Saccharomyces cerevisiae S288C: one gene and its partners. The gene in region 2 interacts genetically with the main gene of each other region. Each region holds a gene or a part of one and is shown on either strand. Other genes may lie near its edges. The genes, in order: MDS3, CSI2, COS6 and FIT3.

Region 1 (8,136 bases), on a different chromosome or scaffold from region 2:
CCTTCTAAGAGTCCCACATAAAAGTGCTCTGGGGAAAAACGGACCACAGCATGTCCTGTGGTACTTGTTTCTTTCAAGTTTTTCGTATGTATTTCCCATTTTTTGATTCGCTACAACCTGTATTTGTTTTATGGCGCGCCTGGACCATATATATGTATATATTTATTTACATGTAATTGGCACAGGGAAAAACAGTGGAAGGATCAAGGTAAAAAGTATGAAACCGAGAATTATTCGCGACTTCAGGTTATCCAATCGTGTATGTAATCGTATGTAGGCAAAAGTAAATAGATATGAACTACATTTTCCTGCTTTACTTAGACTAGAGATGTGACCTCAAAGAATCTTCTCAAGTAGTATATCTGGAAAAGAGAGTTTGCAATAACGACGCCCAATTGGAAGATGGACCACCATTTAACACGATCGTTGGTCGACTCTGCAGTATTTCTATGCGTCCTTTCTCTAATAACAATATAACTTTGTTCGTCCTTGACTTCCCTGGTTAATTTGGACAACTTTCTGACAGCACTATCCAATGTATTGGTGTTTGGGTCGTCCAAATCCACATATACCACCCCATGAATGTTGAAAGTCACGTCTTTTGTCTCGATACCGGTGTTCTCGTTCAAGAAACAGTATTGGAAATGTCCCTTGTATGGAGCAGACAATGTGATTTCACCGTGCGACGTGTCCCTAACCGTTTTCAAAACTTCATGTCTTTCCGGCCCGTAGATGATAAAGTCACCAGTCAGCTGGCTACTGGATTGAGGGTTTCTATCACCGAACTGGAACGAAATGGAGAGCTCGTCACCCTTACTCAAGTCTTCGAAGAAGCATCTACGGCCATAAGCTGGAAGAAGGACATTATGGGCGGACGCCGAGAAGAACAGGAAGCAAGCAATGACAAACTTAGTAGCAAATGAGGCCATCCTTATGCGTGTGTATTTTTGTGCGGAGGGATACTATTAAGATTGCAGTTTCACCAAGTATAGCTTTTTATTTCATTATAAGTTTCGTGTCAAAATGTTTAAGCGACCCGATCTCTCAGGCTGTTTTGCACGACTTTTCTGACTTTCCTCGCGTCTTTTTTCATGAAAATTGGATTACCCGGAGTGATGATTTTCTCACAGTGATTTTTCGTCCCCTTTTACAATAGCAAATGAAGCTGTTTTAGCAATATTTGTAGAAAGATATGTCACAAGAGGGCAGGCAAAATGTCATACGGAAGAGAAGACACTACGATTGAGCCCGACTTCATAGAACCAGATGCACCTTTGGCTGCTTCCGGGGGTGTTGCTGACAACATAGGCGGAACTATGCAGAATTCAGGCAGCAGAGGGACGCTCGACGAGACTGTGCTGCAAACACTAAAGCGAGATGTGGTGGAGATTAATTCCAGACTGAAACAAGTGGTATACCCGCATTTCCCCTCATTCTTTAGCCCCTCTGATGACGGGATAGGGGCGGCTGATAACGACATTTCAGCCAATTGCGACCTGTGGGCGCCCCTTGCGTTTATCATATTGTATTCTCTATTTGTATCGCATGCGCGGTCGCTGTTCTCGAGCCTATTTGTGTCTAGTTGGTTCATTTTGCTGGTGATGGCATTGCATCTGAGACTCACCAAGCCACACCAGAGGGTGTCGCTGATTTCGTACATCTCCATTTCCGGGTATTGCTTATTCCCACAAGTGCTGAATGCCTTAGTCTCGCAGATACTACTTCCATTGGCCTACCATATTGGAAAGCAAAATCGCTGGATTGTGAGGGTCCTGTCGCTCGTGAAACTGGTGGTCATGGCGCTGTGCCTGATGTGGTCTGTGGCCGCCGTTTCGTGGGTTACCAAGAGCAAGACCATTATCGAGATATACCCTCTGGCACTCTGTCTTTTTGGCATGGCCTGGTTGTCAACTATTTTATAACACTAGTTACATATGTATAAAACCCAATATCATGGACATAGAATTGCCTATCTCGCGAGCCACGGCAGAAAGTTCTGAAAAAAAAAAAAAAGAGGACGCTCACAGGGGCTGGCGTGTGGCTAAGGCAGACTCCGTGGAGTGTAAGAGAAGTTCAAAGCAAGATTAGGCTTTCTGATGAATTGGTAGCGCAGAGTCTGGCAAAGTCTATTTCAAGTTCACAGCGTCCGTTTACCACAATTGTTTGAGAACTCTTCTCCTTCCTGTGCCTATAGCCACACTTGCAAACATTACATGGTGAAGGCGCTTTAGAGACTTTTCTGTTTTACTATATATATAAGATAACATAGCGCGCGTGCAAACCAAAGGACAAGTAACAATCTGCACCTGCTTTAGCGTAGTATGCCTTTATTACAACCATCCACTTGCTTCTGCTACCCTTTGAAGCTTCCGCCATTACCACTGACTTCCGATTCCAACGAGTTTGATGAATGCGCCAGGAAAAGGTTAACGCTGGACTATAGAACAGGTTCAGCGGTGACGCTAACAAGGTCTAATATATTTGTACATGGTGGTCTAACCATCCCGTTGAACCTGCCAGTTGTAAATTCTATGCAATTACAAAAGGAGCTTATTCTCTTTTTTGCAAAGGAAAAAAACAACGGTAGTTCTTTTAGGAATTTAAACGAGTGGATAAGTAAGGAGACGTTTTTCTTAGACTTGATGTCTAGAACCTGGTACAGAGTCAAGACCTCCTTTGACCAAAGGACAGAGGAATTATTAAAGGCAGAGAGTTCTAGCGCCAAAGCAGATAATGACACAAACGAGATTAGAACGGACATTAAGAAAGGTAAATCCCTTGAATCTCCGCTCAAGGAGAGGCTATTCCATTCCTTATGTTATTTAGATGGCTGTTTATATATATTTGGTGGTCTCACAGTGTCTCCTCAGAGCGGATATGAGTTGATTGCTACCAATGAGTTGTGGAAACTGGATTTAAACACGAAGAAGTGGTCGCTTTTGAGTGATGACCCTCAAATAGCGAGAAGGTTCAACCATACCATGCATGTAAAGAACGAAAATAACGATAATAGAGACACGAAATTAATAATTGTCGGAGGTCTTAATAACATGGATCAGCCGGTCAAGAAAATAGACATCTATAACATCTCACAGAATTGCTGGCAATCCGAAACCATACCCAAACAACCGATGGAAATCACTACAAATGTCAATGGCATACCATTAGCATTATCAAAGGATCAGAATTTTTCGATTTTAGTTGAAAATAATGAGGCCAACGTTCCAGCGCTGGCATTCTATATGAGAAGTGATCAAATAGACGAATATCTCGGAAAGGATTCATCAAAGATAAAGGAGAATTCGCCTATAGTGGCGTTGCCGCTATTGTCTGAATCGCAAGGTATTAGAATGCCCTCAAACCCGGCATTACCGAAAAAACTATTGAATGTTCCGTATGAGCTATTAGCACCGACAGGTGACTATTTTGGATTCAATATCATAATCGGTGGGTTTCATCCAAATTACCAATCCTCTAACTTTCATTGTTTTATATACGATATTAACTCCGGAAAGTGGTCACGAGTCGCTACCGCCTGCCCTGACTGCGATATCAATAAACATCGATTCTGGAGGGTATTTGTTTGGAAATCGCATCATCAGACGATTTTGTTGGGTACCAAGACTGATGATTATTATTCACCCAGTGTACAAAGATTCGACCATCTTTCCACTTTTGGATTACCGCTGGTAAATATTTTTAACAAGACGATCCAATTACCCCATCACAAGATCTCAGCTTCGTCTTTACCAATACCCATAGAAAATTTTGCGAAGCATAAGGATACTCCATTAAAAAAGGTGAGCTTCACTTCATCAGCTACCTCCCAATTTGAAAACTACATTAGATATATAGCTCCGCCCTTGGAAATGTCTTCTATCCAATCTGTGTTTCCACCGTATGCCATGGTTCTAGGTAAAGACGCTTTAGAGATTTACGGGAAGCCTCTTTCTGATTTTGAATTTATTACTAGTGAAGGTGACTCCATTGGTATACCATGCTATTTGCTGAGGAAAAGATGGGGCCGTTATTTCGACATGCTTTTATCCCAGAGTTATACAAAAGTTTGTGCTGATTATGAAACTACTGATACGCAATCTACACTAATAAAATTTTCACCACATTCATCTAGAAACAGTTCTAAAGCTGTGAGGCAAGAAGGTAGACTCTCTTCATCGGGTTCACTGGACAATTATTTCGAAAAAAACTTCCCAATCTTTGCGAGAACAAGTGTTTCCGAGGCCCAGAACACACAACCTCAGGTAGCGAATGCTGATGCGAAAGCTCCAAATACACCTAGTACGTCAGATGAACCAAGCTCTTCCTCCTCTTCCGATTTATACTCCACTCCTCATTACCAACGTAATAATGATGAAGAGGATGACGAGGACCCGGTTTCCCCGAAGCCTGTATCAAAATCAAACAGTATCTATAGACCCATTAGAAAGACAGAAAGTTCATCAACAACGAGTTCTTCAAACGGTATGATTTTCAGAGTACCTTTCAAGGAAAAAGCGGCTGTAACGTCAAACACTGAAGCCCTCTTGGAGTCAAACCTTTCACTTCAAGAATTGAGCCGAAGAAGATCATCACTTATGAGCATCCCGTCTGGTGAACTTCTAAGGTCCTCTATATCTGAAGCGGAACATCAACGTCGTGCATCTCATCCACTCACTTCATCACCGCTCTTTGAAGATAGTGGAACCCCTTGCGGCAAACAACTGCAACAACTGCAACAACATACTATACAAAATCCTCATAACCATTTGTCGCCCCGGAGGTTTTCAAGAAGTGCAAGAAGTTCAATTTCCTACGTGAGTTCTTCTTCCGATAGACGTGGAAATTCAATTTCTAGCAGGAGCACAAGCGATAGCTTTGGAACTCCACCAGTTTTGGGCGTTTTGAATGTACCATTACCTCCTCAAACAAGAGAACCTAATGAACCACCTCCACCATGTCCTGCAATGAGTACCGGCTCAAATACAAGGCGAAGCAACACCTTAACGGATTATATGCATTCTAACAAGGCTAGCCCGTTTTCTTCTCGTAGATCGTCGCATATCGGTAGACGTTCTAGTACACCGGAAACGGAAAACGCATTCTCTGCAACACCAAGAGCATCCTTAGATGGTCAAATGTTAGGAAAATCTTTGAAGGAAGGTTCTACATCACAGTACACACAGCCAAGGATGAACTCTTTCCCAAAGGCTAATGAAACCATACAAACACCCACATCATCAAACAATGAATGGAGCCGTCAATCCGTTACTTCAAATACAGATAGTTTTGACAGTTTGCAATCTAATTTTGCGTTAGAGTTGGAACCACTTTTAACACCGAGGTCACTTTATATGCCTTGGCCAACCTCCACAGTTCGAGCATTTGCGGAATTTTTTTACACTGGGCAAGTAAACAGTAAATGGCTTTTGGCACCAGTTGCTCTTGATTTATTAGTAATGGCCAAGATTTATGAAATACCATTACTGTATAAATTGATCCTTGAAGTTTTATATTCGATTCTGGCTAAAAAAGAAGAAAGTTTATCCTTAATATGTACTTCGTTAATGGAGACCTTTCGCACCAAAACTCTGAACTCCTATAAAGGTGATGAAGAAAAAACAAATACTTATTTGACTTCAAACGATAACTATCAGGAACTGTTGAAATTAAAAGTGTCGCTGGAGAATATCGACAATGGGTATTATGACCCAGATTTGTTACGCAAACAGTCAAGAGCACAGTCTTCAAGCACACAAGAAAGCAGTGGTAGTGCAAACGGCGAAAAAACTGCAACTGGCGCTGGCTCTCTGGAGACTTCTTCAACCAATGTCCCTACAGTATTTGCTGGCGGTCCCAGAGATAGCCACAATTCAGTAGGCTCCATTGGTTTTCCAAACAGTATGAATATACAAGGCTCAAGAAGATCGACATCAGGATTTTCTCCACGCGTTAAGATGAAATCGAGCTTAAGCAAGGAAATAGATCCCAAAACTTTTTATGAAGAGTACGAACCAAAAGAGGGCAAAAGTTTTGATGATAACGATGATCAACAAACCAACATCGGAAGTTTTAACCTTCATTTGTTTGATATGAATTATGGTTCCATCAGCAGCAGTAGCACTAACAGCATTAGTAGCAGTGATTTAGAAGAGAAAGAAGAACAAGAGCAACTTCAAGATTTATTGGAAATAGAAAGAGAAGATTCTGCTGAGATCTTAGACGCAAGATTCAGAAACAAAGAAGATGATAAAGTGACGAAGGATATATCAAATGACAAGAAACGCAATTACTTACCGCATGAAAAAAATAACTTGAAAGCCAAGGAAGGTAAGGAAACTAGAGACGTAAGGGAGGAGGAGGAAGAATTCGATTTTGGTTTGGGAATGCTTTCGCTCAATAAAATAAAAAGAGAAGCCAAGCATGTCGATAAGGTGGACGATTCTGTAGACCCTTTATTTAAATCATCTGCTTTCCCTCAAAGTCCCATTCGAGCATACGGGTCTACCACAAGAACTAGTTCGGCTTCTGGAAAGCCATTCAGGGACAATCGTTCATTTAATGCATTTTCTGTTTTGACATTAGAAAATATGGCGTCTGCAAATGCCCTACCTCCCGTTGATTATGTCATAAAATCAATATACAGAACCACTGTGTTAGTGAACGATATCAGACTAATGGTTCGTTGCATGGATTGCATTGAATTATCTAAAAATTTACGAGCGCTCAAGAAAAAAACTATGGAAGATATTTCGAAATTGAAAGGCATCTCTAAACCGTCACCATAGACCGCTACGTCCCAGGATAGTTACTCGCACATATAAAGTTCTTAATAATCCAAGAATATGCTGCTATACATCTCAAAACGGATTGCTTCCATATGGGCGCCACTTTTCTGTTTCTTTGCTATCAAAACAGTTGGCACCAAAAAGCTACTCATTGCAAAGGTTTATTGCTTATGAAATATTGCTTTGTGAACAGATTCAACCGAAATTACCCGGTGAATATGACTATGTAAGTTATTAGTATAGGTTGCATTTGCTGTATTCGTTGATAAGACAACATCTTGTATCATACTAGTTTCCGCACACTAGTATTTCGTCTACTATTGACTTTCTGATAAGGTTATCTGGTTCCTGTATTTGCAGTTTATCGAAGCGGGCAGACCAGGTCAGCTCAGGACAATTCAAATTCAGATAATGAGGCACAGACTAATCATAACACGAAAATTGAATACATCCCACGATATAGCATAACCAAATGTCGGAACATAACTAGCAATACAATTTTTACATCGGGCCGAATCCGTCGGAGAGTGATAAGACGGAGTTAAAATATCTCTCAAAACCATGGAACAACAATATGTGTACATATATAAAGCTTTTGAGTGAAAAGATTTCTTTCCACTATTTACTGTCAATTTTATTCAACACGAAAGGGAATTAAGTGCACATAAATACTTCATTTCTTGATAAGGAAGTATAATATTGCTCCTAAGAAGAGTTTGAAATGAGCGATGTTCTATCTCAATATAAAGGGTGCTCAGTCAGAGATTTACCCACACCCAATTTCGTTATTAATGAAGAAAAATTTGATAAGAATTGTACGACAATGTTGAACAACGTTGAAAAGCTCAGCCAGGAATGTGGCGTACCAATCAAATTTCGTGCACACGTAAAAACGCATAAGACAGCAAAGGGAACTTTGAAACAATTGGGCCACGGACTTCCATTGGCTAAACGCACTACAAGAGCCATATTAGTATCAACTTTGAAAGAAGCAGAAGAACTTCTTAATTATCAAGATAGACAATGTTCGGATTATATTGACGATATAACATATAGTTTACCCTGTTGCGTTCCAGAGTTTATTCCTCTTTTGAGCAATTTGTCAAGAAGGGTGAATAATTTTCAGGTTTTTGTTGATAACATTGAACACTTGGAGAATTTAAAGAATTTCGGTAGGCCTGCTTCCGGCAAGAAATGGTCGGTTTTTATCAAGGTTGATATGGGGACTAAGAGGGCAGGTCTTGCTTTCGACTCTCCAGAATTTTTGAGTCTTTTAAAAAAACTGACTTCCTCAGAAATTAAAGAAGTAATTGAGCCATATGGGTTTTATGCTCATGCCGGACACAGCTAC
Region 2 (3,766 bases):
ATAATAAGGCCCTCACAGACATTGATATTATTCAGGAAAGCGATGCTCAAGCCAATTGGGAGATATCCTCTTAAAAGAAATTTTTTTGGTTTGAGCGGTACCAATCACACTATTAGGGAACAGCGATATGTTTTGCGCAAGGCCATAAACGCCCCTCCAAGCACAGTCTACGCTGCAGTGTCAGAAGTTGCCCAATATAAGGAATTTATTCCTTATTGTGTTGATTCGTTTGTAGATAAACGAAATCCTGTGGATAACAAGCCTCTCATTGCGGGGCTTCGAGTTGGTTTCAAACAATACGATGAGGAATTTATATGCAATGTTACCTGTAAAGATACTGATCATACGTATACCGTTGTTGCAGAAACAATATCTCATAATTTGTTTCACCTTTTGATTTCGAAATGGACCATAATGCCTCACCCAAATAGACCAAATGCGGCCATGGTAGAACTTCTATTAAGATTTAAATTCAAATCTCGGATATATAACAGTGTCTCTCTAATATTTGCGAAAACTGTGACTGAATTGGTGATGAACGCATTTGCCAAAAGAGCATACCATTTAGTAAGATTAGCAATGCTAAAACCTTCTTCTAAAGAAGGCTCTCCGTGATATCTTCCGTATAATTTCAGATAACAAAGATCATGCCATCCAGGATAAGCGTATGCATGGTTAAATTTTTAGACTATAGAACAAGATTTTTCTGTATAGTTATGTTTATAGTATTTAAGCTTTCTAACAAGCTCCAGTAGGGGCGGAGGATACAAACAAATATATTTTGCTGCAAAATTTCCTGGTCTTCCGTCGCAATCAACAAGTTGATACGCAGATGCACCATTTTATTCATTGGCAAAGTACGATCAGTTTAGTGCTTGTATCTGTATGCGAAAAAAGAATGGTGTACTAAAAACAGCGCATGGTGATGGCGAGGAATTTACACGTATCCTCTCATTAATTGAAGTATTAGGTTTTCGAGTCGCACTTAGTGTAAATGAGGTGTAGAAAGGTGGGGACGCAATTATTCCTTACCGTCGAGCAGTTGATCCAGATGAACACTGGGAGGACGGTACTTCTTTACTTTACCCTGACTAACATTTGATTTTGGAGTAGAGCGGTCTTCAGAGTCGGGACTTAAATTGTATGATGTATAATTGAATGGATTAGTGCTGTCTGTAAACTTTCCCAGTATTTGGGTAGCACCAGGTTCCCTTGGAGTACTGGACAAGGAATCATATATAGCACTCTCATTGCTTTGAGACCATGTATTAGAGTTGTTGGCATCAGATTGCAGAATTTCGGTGGGTGAAATAAACATAGATGATCTGAAGTTATCGTTGGCATCTGTTTTATTGTTCAAAAGATTCAAAACAGAAGTGGATCCTAGAGTATACAAACTCATACGAGATGAGTTATTTTTCAGAACTTTTTCTGATATGTCACTGTCGTCAGAATGGGAAGATGTTTCACTTTCGTCGTCATTAATGTTTGTTTGGAAGTAGAAAGGATCGTGTTGGTATTGATTTTCTAGATTTCTCAGCTTATTTTCCTTTCTAGCACTTCGCCATGACTTTATATTCAATGCAATCCATGCACCCGTCAGTGATAGTAGAATTGCACCTAAACAGCCAGCAAATGCAATGAACACAGTACCGTTAGGATGATGAGCCTGATATAAGAATTTATTTCCGTCCGTAACCGGGATATAAACGCTGGAAGGTGTAATAGATGAAGTTGATATTACACTGTTGTTGCTCCATAAACTAGAGTTGGTGTATAAGCTTGTACTAGCGCTCGTGGTGATTTTGGGCATTTTAGTGCTTGAAGTGACATTATGACTTGACGAAACATCCTTACTGGTTACTGAGCTTTTGCCTAAGGACGTGGTTGTCTTGGCTGAAGAGCTGCCTTTACTAGAACTATCTGCTGCCTTTGTACTACTTGATAAAGAGGGCAAATTTGCAGCGGAGACAAGTTGAAATTCTTGTAGAGCAAACAAATGAAGTAGTAGTATCACTTTCCAAATGGAGATTTCTGGCAGTCTCATTGTGTCGTTACTAGTTTATGTTGACAATCTTTTCCCTATTAATAGTTAAAGACTTTCCTGTTTCACCGTAAAGCGTCCTTCTGCTGATGTGTTATTTGTAAAATAAAGCAAGCTAAGATGTACTACGTATCTCACATCCTTATATTGGAGGAAGCATGGATGCAAATCTTTTTCTTTTTCAGCAGACACTTTTAATAGAACGGAAGGCCCCATCTAGAACAGGAAATTATGATCTGAATTTGTTTGATTCAGCTTAGCATTTCGTGGCTTCTATTTCAATAGAGCGGTTCTTCCTTACAGACGGCGCTGTGTTGACGACTTTTCGTGTAATTCTTGTCTACGCTAATTACTTTTTTTTCGCGATCCTGCCACACTTACACGCAGAAAACGCGAAAACCGCCAAAATTTCGAAGGGCATACATGCGACAAGGGACGGATTCAAGCCGTGTCACTGAGCATGCATTCTTGCAAAGGTTCCAAGTATTTTTGCTTCCAAAACATCAAGAGATACGGACAATACGTTTCTTATATGCAGGTAACTAAGAAATAATAGGAGGGGTAAAGTAACTGTGGCATGATTACACTGCAGTATACTCTTTAAAAGTTTTAAATTATTTCTATATATGTGTATAAGATATCTTCCTAGTAACCCTAATGCGAACTTGATGCGTGAATGTATTTGCTTCTCCCCTATGCTGCGTTTCTTTGCGTTAAAACCTCCAATTTTCATCTACCGATTCTATGGCCCATTTGAATTTTTCTCTTAGGGTTTTTGTAAAAATCTTTTCAATCGGAACATCATACTTTTTGCAAAATACCACAGAAAGTCTAGGGTCTATATAATTGATTTTGGAAGTGCCCAGTGAAACCTGGGAGTTTTCCTCTTTATCTTTCAACTGAATGGAACTAGTTTGGATACGCTGTTCTAATTTCTCTACTTGTGCTTTTATTTTTTCGACTGAATTCCAACTTGATTTCAGTTCCACTTCACCGGTTTTCAATTCCTTTTCGAATTCTTGTTTCTTTTCGTCGACTTTCTCCAACCATTCCTTCAATTGACTTTCCGGCAATAATTCTTCCTTTTCAAATTTCCTCTTATCGTTCTCCCTAACAAATTTTCGCTGATATTTTTCAATTTCTCTATCAATAATTCTCTTGTGAATGGTGGCTTCATCTTCTTTCGTCAAATCGTCGATTTCTTCGAAATATTTTGGCTCTTTCTTTAAAAGATCCTTATCCAATTGTAAAATGGCCCTCTTGCAACGAATCTTTTGCCATTCCAACTCTTGTATTCTATTATTGGCCTTTTCCACTGTTTGTGCATGCCCCTTCGTGACAGTCCTTTGATGGTTACATAGGATGGCTACAGTTCTATTTGCTGCGTTGTACTTCAATATTTTCTCTGCGACAGATCCTTTATTTGGAATTAGATCCAGTTGATCTTGCATTGTTTTGGAAGCATTATATGTACGGAAAACTTTAGCAGTCAATCCCGGCATGTAGTTTTGTAGATATTTGTTCAGTATAGATGGATCTAGACGATCAAACAGTTGATGTCCTGGCTGTTTGGGCGGCCTTTTAAAAATTGTCAAATTTTTGAAAACTTGTTTGTCAACTTCTACCTCTTGATAAAATCTAATAGAATCCTTACCTAAGAAATCAAAGATAACAGTATTCGGAGGTTTCAAAGTAACATGCTCATATCGCAATGAACAACAA
Region 3 (4,840 bases), on a different chromosome or scaffold from region 2:
TTGGGTGTCTACGTCTCTGATATCAGAGCTCACTTGGCCCAATACTACTCTTTCCAAGCCGCTCATCCAACTGAAACCTACCCAGTTGAAATCGCTGAAGCCGTTTTCAACTACGGTGACTTCACCACCATGTTGACTGGTATTGCCCCAGACCAAGTGACCAGAATGATCACCGGTGTTCCATGGTACTCCAGCAGATTAAAGCCAGCCATCTCCAGTGCTCTATCCAAGGACGGTATCTACACTATCGCAAACTAGAGACAAACGCCTTTACGAACGAAATTCCATAAACCTTAAGAAATAACGAAAATAAAAAAAGCTTTTTTTTTTTGATAGTATAAATAGTTCATTATATGTAAGTGTATATTAATATTGTTACTACTGGTCAATCGTGATATTTATGAACAACTTGGCGGAGCAAGGACAAGAATCCTCTCTTCCTTTTGTGGTATTCTTCGATGTGTGTCCACTTCAACGACATGGGTCATCAATATCTATGTTGAAAAAATCATATTTTAGGATCACTTGCTAGTAAACCGGTTGATGCTATTGTTAATATATAACGACAAATGTTCAAGCAATTATATAACCATTTTCTTCCATATTCACCTTAAACGAGGTCGCCTTTATTTTTTTTTTTTTTTTCAGGGCATCGATCGGCCCGGAGTCGTCGCCTTCAAATGTGTCAAATTTTTAAGATTAAAGTTATCGATCTTGAAGTTTTTCGTGGCAGGAGGGTTTCTATTTAGTGTTCGGTAAAGGCTTTCATAAGCTTTTGTATATCCCTTGATTAACAATAAATGTGGAAAATAAGAAGGGTAATTTGTGAAAGAGTCCGATTCTAGTCGATGTACAGTAAAATCACTTATTATTTAAGGATTCCGCTGCGGTATGCGTTTTCTACTGATGCGTGGAGCAAGCCACGCCATGTGATTAACCTTGCTTGATAAAAGCACCAACCCATCGTTCAGAATATGCATGGAATATAGCATCACTGGGAGGAGAAAGACAATAAGTTTTGCGCATATGGTAGGATGGTGGCACACTGATTTCTGTCAACCAGTGAGAAATAGGGAAAAAGAAAATGGTTGTAATGGTAAAAAGTAGTCTCGTTTTGGTTATTCGCAGCTGACAAACTACAAAATATATAAATTGAAAAAGTTGTATTTATCTTTACGCTAAGGACTCCTCACTGCAGGATAATTGCGCTTCTTTAATATATGGCCATAGTTCCACATTCAATGATAGAGCCCGCATAGATTTCTTTGCAGAGAGAACGCGGTAGAAGAAGTGGCTAAAAAACCATTCACAGTCAATCCCGTCAAAGAAAAACTCTTCATTCTTCCAGACTTTTTTCTCAAACAAGTACCTATTCATTTTCTTTGCAATTTCGTCCCATCCATTTGCACCACTTTCTTGCTCATTTATAATAGTCGATAAAAACTGCATCTTGTGTTCCATTTTCACGGATAAAACGATCATCCTCATATTCCGGAAATCTCTCGTCATGATAAAAAACAGCACCACAAGAAACAAGGGACGTGCTATAGTGCCATCATTTCGTGAAATGAAGACATTATGCAAATAAAAAAGGAAGAGTGGTAAACACCGCCGGTTGAAAATCCTTTTGAGAACCCAGGTAAGCTTAAATCGGTAAGCTTCCTTGGGAAGTTTAGCATCTTCCAGGCCAACAGGGCTCCATGATTTCTCAGAATTAAACAACTTCCATTGTTTTTCAACTTCTGTAAAATAAACTTCCAATGCTTCTTCAATGTAAGGGACGGAATCCTTAAATGACTTAACCTTGGCAGCTTCGTCTTTTTTCAAAGAGAAGGGTTCGAGAAGGGTTGTTCTGAATGCTTCTTGGCAGCTCATGGCACTGAAAAAAAAGTACTTGGTATTCCAAGCCTTATTTTCATAGAAGTACGAATTTAGATTTGCTGCAACGACTTCCCAATCATGAGGATCCGAACTTGGTGTGTTTTTAGTAATCTCTTTGCAAAACTGAGTGAGTTGTTTCGATAAGGAACGTTTACGAGAAAGTCTAAAAATAACAAGAACAAATACTGGTCCCCAAAACAGGACAAGAAGTGAAACCATAAGCGGGTAAATCCAATTGTTGGAAAGTTTCCACCAGACGCTAAGTGGTAGCCATAATAGCATCCAGATGCGAAACACTAAGGACTTGTAAATTTCATAACAAAACCAGGTAAAGCTGCTTCTGAAAAGATCTTGAGGTAGAACAGTCTTTTGGGATTCGAGCTGTTTGACGGATAATACATCTACACTCTTCTCATTTTTAAGTTCATTCTCTTTCATTTTCGGTAGTGAGATGGCAGTTCGAGGGGTTTTTTATTCAAAATAATAACTTCTGGCTTTTCGCTTTTATATAGCAGAAAAAAAAGCCGTCGAGGCGCGCGCGTTCATGCAATGGCTCAGTAACCTCGGGATAGAAAAAGGGCAACAATGTTGAGCTATTTTAGGCACAGAAACTTTACTATTCGAAAAGGGCATCCATTTCATTTCCGATTTTCTATCTAGCTCACTCGATAATCGTAATAGTACTTTTATAAAACTTTAGTGCGGGTACTGTGAGAGTGTGCCGTAACTTTGGTTTACATTTAAGGTGCGACCAGCAATGTCACTACTTTTACAACAACCGCCATATGGCTCGAGAATTTCATTATCACATGGAATGCCTGTGACAAAACTGTGTAAATATCTAATAGAAATTAGATGTAGCTGTCACAAATATTTACACAGGAAAGAGCCTGTCCTACGAGTATCTTACATGAAGATTCATAGAACCAATTTACTTGCGAATGTGAACAACCTTTCAACATCATTTCAATACCATTTTCCCTCCTTATGTTTGGTGTCACTGTAAAGCGGATCAAAGCAAAACATAGAGGTACGGTGGTGCTAAGATCATGCATGACCTCTGGGTAATTACTACTTCTCCCGCTTGTTTTGAGATTCTGTATATAAATATTTCAAACAAAAGGATAGAGCGCGGATGGCAGGCCTTATAGTAAAAGTTATTCGTTTTAATCATGTGTCAGTATGAGATTCTATGACAATAGTATGAGAAGATAGGGTGAAGTAAAAGTATCTGTATGACTATAGAGTGCAGTTATATTACAATATATTGAATAGATCATAATGGTATGACGATATTAAGGAACATTTAAGTTAATGACGTCATGGTGGTATAGATACGCAATTGAGTGTGTTTATGTATTATTGTTGAAAAGTAGAATATTTTTATGTTTAGGTGATTTTGATGATATTTTTATGTAATATTGACATAAGTGCATATAAATTGAGTGGTTAGTATATGGTGCAAAAGTGGTACAACATATGTATTAAGGGCATTTATACAATATTTGGGGCCGCCGAATGAGATATAGATATTAAAATGTGGATAATCATGGGATTTATGGGTAAATGGCACAGGGTATAGAACGCTGAGGCAAGCGCCGTGCATAATGATGTGAGTGCATCTAGTACTGATTTAGTGAGAATGGGCCATGGAGTGGAGTGTGAGAGTAGGGTAACTTGAGATGGTATATACTGTAGCATCCGTGTGCGTATGCCGTATCAGTATACAAGTGAGGGTGAGTGTGGCATGTGGTGGTGGGATTAGAGTGGCAGGGTAAGTATGTGTGTATTATTTACGATCATTTGTTAACATTTCAATATGTTGGGTAGAACAACAGTATAGTGAGTAACAAGATGGGGCATGGTAGGGTAATGGCAGGGTAAGTGGTAGTGGAGTTGAATATGGGCAATTGGAGGGTAACAGGTGGTGGATGTGGGTGAGTGGTAGTAAGTAGAGAGATGGATGGTGGTTGGGGTGTGGTATAGTTGAATGAGACAGGGTAACTTGTGGGGAGGTAGGGTAATGGAGGGTAAGTTGAGAGACAGGTTAAATCATATATATGTCACTGTATTGCATGCTGGATGGTGTTAGACAAGGCCGTAGGGACATATAGCATCTAGGAAGTAACCTTGTACGAAAATAGGCAATATTTCCTGTTTAGGCGATTGTGACGCAGATTTTAGTCCAACGATCTAGCGTCAAGGAATTTTTTTATAGTGGGACATTGCACCAAGGAAGTAACTTGATACGTCGTGGGTGAATGGGTCTGTTTTCTTATTCGGCGGGGTAATACATTTTTGGGGGAAGTTTGTCTGTCTGACGCGCCATATGTAGGTACGCCAAAAAGGGCTCCTCTACTTCGAAGCGCGAGGTCGTATACCTAATAAGGAAATGTAATTTATAACTTTCTATTATATTGGTCTTTTCGAGAGCGGAAGAAGTTGTAGGCTAAGCGCAGGCTAAGCGTAGGTCCATATTTAAAGTATCCAAGAGAATATCCACGAAGCGGCTGAGCAACGAACAGAATCCTGGTTCTCCTCGACTAAGCAGATAGTTAAGATACTGTGCACCATGGAAATTGAAAACGAACGTACGTACCGACTACTTTATTTTTGCAGGCCGGAAATCAAGCGATGAATGAGACATCCTTCTGCTTTCTATGTTGTGCTTGAAGGGGACAGACAGTCGCTTATCTTAGTGAGATTTCTTACTAACTGAATTTACTTTGCTGCTGCTAGAGATTTGCACCTGCATAGCGCAGATTCTGCATCTTCTCAATAGCTTAATTATTACATTCTTAGATGATGATAAGACGGAAACTGGACAATCTTTTGTTTATATTGATGGATTTCTTGTCAAAAAGCATAACAATCAACATACTATTGTTAATTTCGAAACTTACAAAAATAAAATGAAAGTTTCCGATAGGCGTAAGTTTGAAAAAGCAAACTTTGACGA
Region 4 (4,292 bases), 750 kb from region 2:
GTGTTTTTGTGGTTTTGGTATTCGTAACAGGTTAGCATTGATAGGGCGGATTGAAATGCTACCAATTCTGGAATTCCTCCACGTATTCTATCCATTTGTCACCGTGTTCAAGAACTCTTTTTGCCGTCAACTCTCGTGTCTTGTCTACAAAGCCCTCTGACCCGCAACAAGTGACCAACAAAGATTTTGCACCACTTACTGCTTCTTCAATTATCTCATCGATATTTGGTCGTCCAAAATCAGTAATCATTTCCGCTGATTTCGATGTCGTCAGCAGTCTGCCTTCCGTGCTCATATTAGCAATTGCTCCCTCCTCCGTGTTCGATTCATCTTTTCGCTCTCCTGTGAAGTAAATTTTTGTGTCTATGTTCAACTCTTTTAGCACCATTATCTCTTTGCGATACACTTCTAAGAGATCAAGGTTACGTACACTCCACACAAATTTGATCATTTGATGAGAATCGTTGCTTTTGACCTGGCGACCTGCCTTTATTGCCATCGACAGAGGTCCAGGAACACCCGCCCCTCCGGCAATAAACAGGAGGCTTTCGAACAAATGTGTTCGCGTGCTTTGTCCATAAGGTCCTTCTGCTAGTACTCGCATTTCCGTGTACCCTTCGCTCTCTAAAAGGTATTCCTGTAATTTTTTGGTTAGCCCATTTTTCACTGTTATCACAACTACCAACTCACCATCCTCAACCAAAGAATCCATGACCGTGAATGGATGTGATTGCCAGAATATTTTTGGTCTTAAGAAGTACAGATATATATATTGGCCAGGTTCTGCTTTCCACCATTTGGAGCTTTTTGAGATTCTCACTTCTATCATGGACTCGCCACACAGTTTCAATTTAGCCCATGGCATTCCAAAAATTGCAATCTTTATTAGCCGCAGAATACGGTCAGCAATCCAAAACAGTGCACACGCCATTATCCATTCACCCCATCCAAGTTTATAGCAATGTTTCCAGCACGCATGGAAAAATCCTATTGCTAAGATAATGTGCGTAATAACAAACAATTCGTAATAATGTCGTCTAAAGAAGAAGAACGAAAAAAACACAAGTATTCCAACAATGATCATGGCATGTCTTCCGGATGTCCATAGATCACTATACTTCACGTATTTCCAGTAATTTTCTATGTATGCATGGTAGGTGTATCCTATTGCATGGATCGTACAGTCTACTAACATGAATCTTCCTAACCATTTGTGGTAAGTAATGAATGCGGTATATCTTATACCTGTGAGCCAAGTCATTGTGCTGTTTTTACCGCCAAAGAGAACTATCAAAGGAAAATGTGCGAATGCCAGGATCCCTGCCCTGTCGGAAAGGAAGATAAGCACTTGGCTTCTGCGATCACTGAGCAACTCATTATGGTCAAAATTGTAACTACTCAACAAGAACCCGTGCAACAAAACGTAACCGAATAGGACAAGGGTCTCTAACCTGGTAGGGACCAGACCGATGAAAAACCACCTTCCCACTGACATAGCATGGTTATGAACAAGCGCTGGAAGAACATAGTGGCCTCTTAAGAAAGCAGACACCTTGTTTTTGAACACCGTTTGTTTAAGTCGAGAAAAGTTCAAGAAGTGATATACAGCTGCAATAAACAGAACTCCTATCCAGTATAAGCAAATCGTCACTCCATAAACATTTCCTTTGTCTATATTATCCAGGGGCCCAAAATAAGCCCATACCCACCTATCTAGAGAGGCTTTATTGGGAGTGACGGGATATCGTATGTTTTCCTTTACCTCATCAAGAGGCCGGATGAAAAGGGATGCATTGGCAAAAATTCGATAATACTCCTCATTGCTGACGACCTCATCTTTGTGATAATCGTGGCAATACTGATTAATTTTGCTAAACGTTTTTTCGAATATTTTTTTACTTTTCTTCCTACTGTCGAGAACATCCTTCGCGCAATGTAACCAAGACCCTAGTGCTGGTTCATAAGTGCAAAGAGTAGCGTGCCGACCCTTCACATCCGTGTCAAATTTGTGTGATTCCAATTCTTTAGCACAAGCATCAATTGCTATCTGGTCCCATTGCGTTCTTTTCTTAGTTGATGCTGGTTTTGCTAAAGAACCTGGTGCCAAATACACCAACAGCAGCACTAATCTAGCGAAAAGCATTCGAAATCTGGGTGAATTAAATTAACTGCGACAAAATTGGTGATGTGACATACCGAAAACGCTACATTACACATTTGCCAAGTAAAAAATTGACGCTCCTTTTTTAATGATCGCTAATGTAATGAAAAGTAAAAATCCAATTAAACGAGGAAGCGGTAAAATATGATTGCTGTGTAGTAATGCCACAGTCTTCTTAGTCCTACCTATGTCCTAGATTTTTTTTTGCACCCTGTTTGTTCCGCACCCCGCTATCCCATATTTTTTGATGTATGTGAAGGAAAGCAATCTAAGGGCTCAAGAGCCGAGTTCCGCCATTCTAGGAAAGGGTGCAAAAAAATGGGGTTCAATTATCGTTCGAGATTTGTTATTTTTTTTTTTGTAAAAGTTGATTTATGGGGTATTTAAGCCAAGAACTATTTGAAGTATTAGGAGGTAATATGAATGTTCGAACAGATACAAACAAGTACTTCCACTCGCTTAAAAATAACTAATAACAATAATCCCTAAAATGAAATTCTCTTCCGCTTTGGTTCTATCTGCTGTTGCCGCTACTGCTCTTGCTGAGAGTATCACCACCACCATCACTGCCACCAAGAACGGTCATGTCTACACTAAGACTGTCACCCAAGATGCTACTTTTGTTTGGGGTGGTGAAGACTCTTACGCCAGCAGCACTTCTGCCGCTGAATCTTCTGCCGCCGAAACTTCTGCCGCCGAAACCTCTGCTGCCGCTACCACTTCTGCTGCCGCTACCACTTCTGCTGCTGAGACTTCTTCTGCTGCTGAGACTTCTTCTGCTGATGAAGGTTCTGGTTCTAGTATCACTACCACTATCACTGCCACCAAGAACGGTCACGTCTACACTAAGACTGTCACCCAAGATGCTACTTTTGTCTGGACTGGTGAAGGCAGCAGCAACACCTGGTCTCCAAGTAGTACTTCTACCAGCTCAGAAGCTGCTACCTCTTCTGCTTCAACCACTGCAACCACCACTGCTGAAACTTCTTCCTCTGCTACATCCTCTAGCACCGCTGAATTATCTAGTTACACCGGTGCTGCTGATGCCATCACCGCTGGTACTGGTTTGATGGGTGCTGCCCTTGCTGCCGTCATGTTATTGTAAATGATATGTGAATAATCATGCGGGATATCCGATTTTTATGAAGCACCTTGCGGCTTGGCCTTTTTTCGAAGTTATGTTAGAATAAAAAAATTTTAATAACACACATTAAGTATGTATGTATATATACTGTTTCAAGTTCGTTGGTCTTCCTTTAATTGTTTGAAACGGTTAAAAGTATCTAATTAAAATAAATATACCCGAAATCATACTAAAAAAATAGTTAATATTAATAAAAGTAATGATAATAATAATAATAACAATAATAATAATACGATGATGATGATGAAACGAAAAACTGCTACATTGAAGTCACTGAGAAACGTAATGAAAAAAAGTCCTTTTTACTAGCCTTTTGAAGGAGAAAGACAATTATATTAGCTTTTCATAGATAAGTTATAAATATGCTATACACGATAACTAATAGCTTTTTTCTGGTTTGAAACCGAGCTTATAATAGGTAAGAAATCAAACCAAGGGCCAATGCACCGACACTTGCTCCTTGGAATGCAGCAGGAGCAGCACCAGAAGAAGAGGCAGAAGAGGAGGAGGAGGATGAGGAGGATGAGGAGGATGTAGATGATTCGACGGCTTGAGTGACGGTCTTGGTGTAAAGGTTGGTTGATGAACCTGAACCGTTTGTCAAAGTAAGTGTCTTTGTTGTACTCTTTTCAGAGGTGGTATCTGGTCCTTCGGTGACAACCTTTGTGTAAGTAGCATCACTATTACTGACAACGACAGTTCTAGTGGTACTGTAACTAATGATAGGGTCAGCGGTGTCGGTAACGACCTTAGTGTAAACGTTATTACCGTTAGTAGCAGTAATAGTCTTAGTGGTCATTACACTCGACACAGCTGCTGCCGAGACGGCAGTCATAACTGTAGTAGCTCCGAAAATAGTTGAGAATTTCATTATTATTGTTTTGTGATGGCTTTATGATAGACTTTTTTACAAGGACCGTAAAATTCTGCCTGAAGCACGCACACATTCCTGTTTTATACATATATTGCTAGGTAATATAAAATGCT

The links.
Region 1: mutations in CSI2 (region 2) and MDS3 together harm fitness more than expected from each alone (negative genetic interaction), as found in Saccharomyces cerevisiae (one large-scale study listed by BioGRID).
Region 3: mutations in CSI2 (region 2) and COS6 together harm fitness more than expected from each alone (negative genetic interaction), as found in Saccharomyces cerevisiae (one large-scale study listed by BioGRID).
Region 4: mutations in CSI2 (region 2) and FIT3 together harm fitness more than expected from each alone (negative genetic interaction), as found in Saccharomyces cerevisiae (one large-scale study listed by BioGRID).

What each region holds. Positions count from the first base shown.
Region 1 is NC_001139.9:122,377-130,512, forward strand, and holds MDS3 (Mds3p), read left to right. Parts: upstream 1-2,321; coding exon 2,322-6,785; downstream 6,786-8,136. Other genes in the region: EMP24 (Emp24p), read right to left, coding at 318-929; YIP4 (Yip4p), read left to right, coding at 1,215-1,922; D-serine ammonia-lyase DSD1, read left to right, coding at 7,507-8,136.
Region 2 is NC_001147.6:310,321-314,086, forward strand, and holds CSI2 (Csi2p), read right to left. Parts: upstream 2,048-3,766; coding exon 1,022-2,047; downstream 1-1,021. Other genes in the region: ubiquinone-binding protein COQ10, read left to right, coding at 1-615; TOP1 (DNA topoisomerase 1), read right to left, coding at 2,758-3,766. UniProt on the Saccharomyces cerevisiae protein: Appears to be a structural component of the chitin synthase 3 complex.
Region 3 is NC_001139.9:1,080,411-1,085,250, forward strand, and holds COS6 (Cos6p), read right to left. Parts: upstream 2,320-4,840; coding exon 1,174-2,319; downstream 1-1,173. Other genes in the region: seripauperin PAU12, read left to right, coding at 1-258; YRF1-3 (Y' element ATP-dependent helicase protein 1 copy 3), read left to right, coding at 4,454-4,472, 4,621-4,840.
Region 4 is NC_001147.6:1,059,415-1,063,706, reverse strand, and holds FIT3 (Fit3p), read left to right. Parts: upstream 1-2,651; coding exon 2,652-3,266; downstream 3,267-4,292. Other genes in the region: FRE5 (putative ferric-chelate reductase), read right to left, coding at 59-2,143; FIT2 (Fit2p), read right to left, coding at 3,715-4,176. UniProt on the Saccharomyces cerevisiae protein: Involved in the uptake of non-siderophore and siderophore sources of iron. Has a role in the retention of iron in the cell wall and periplasmic space.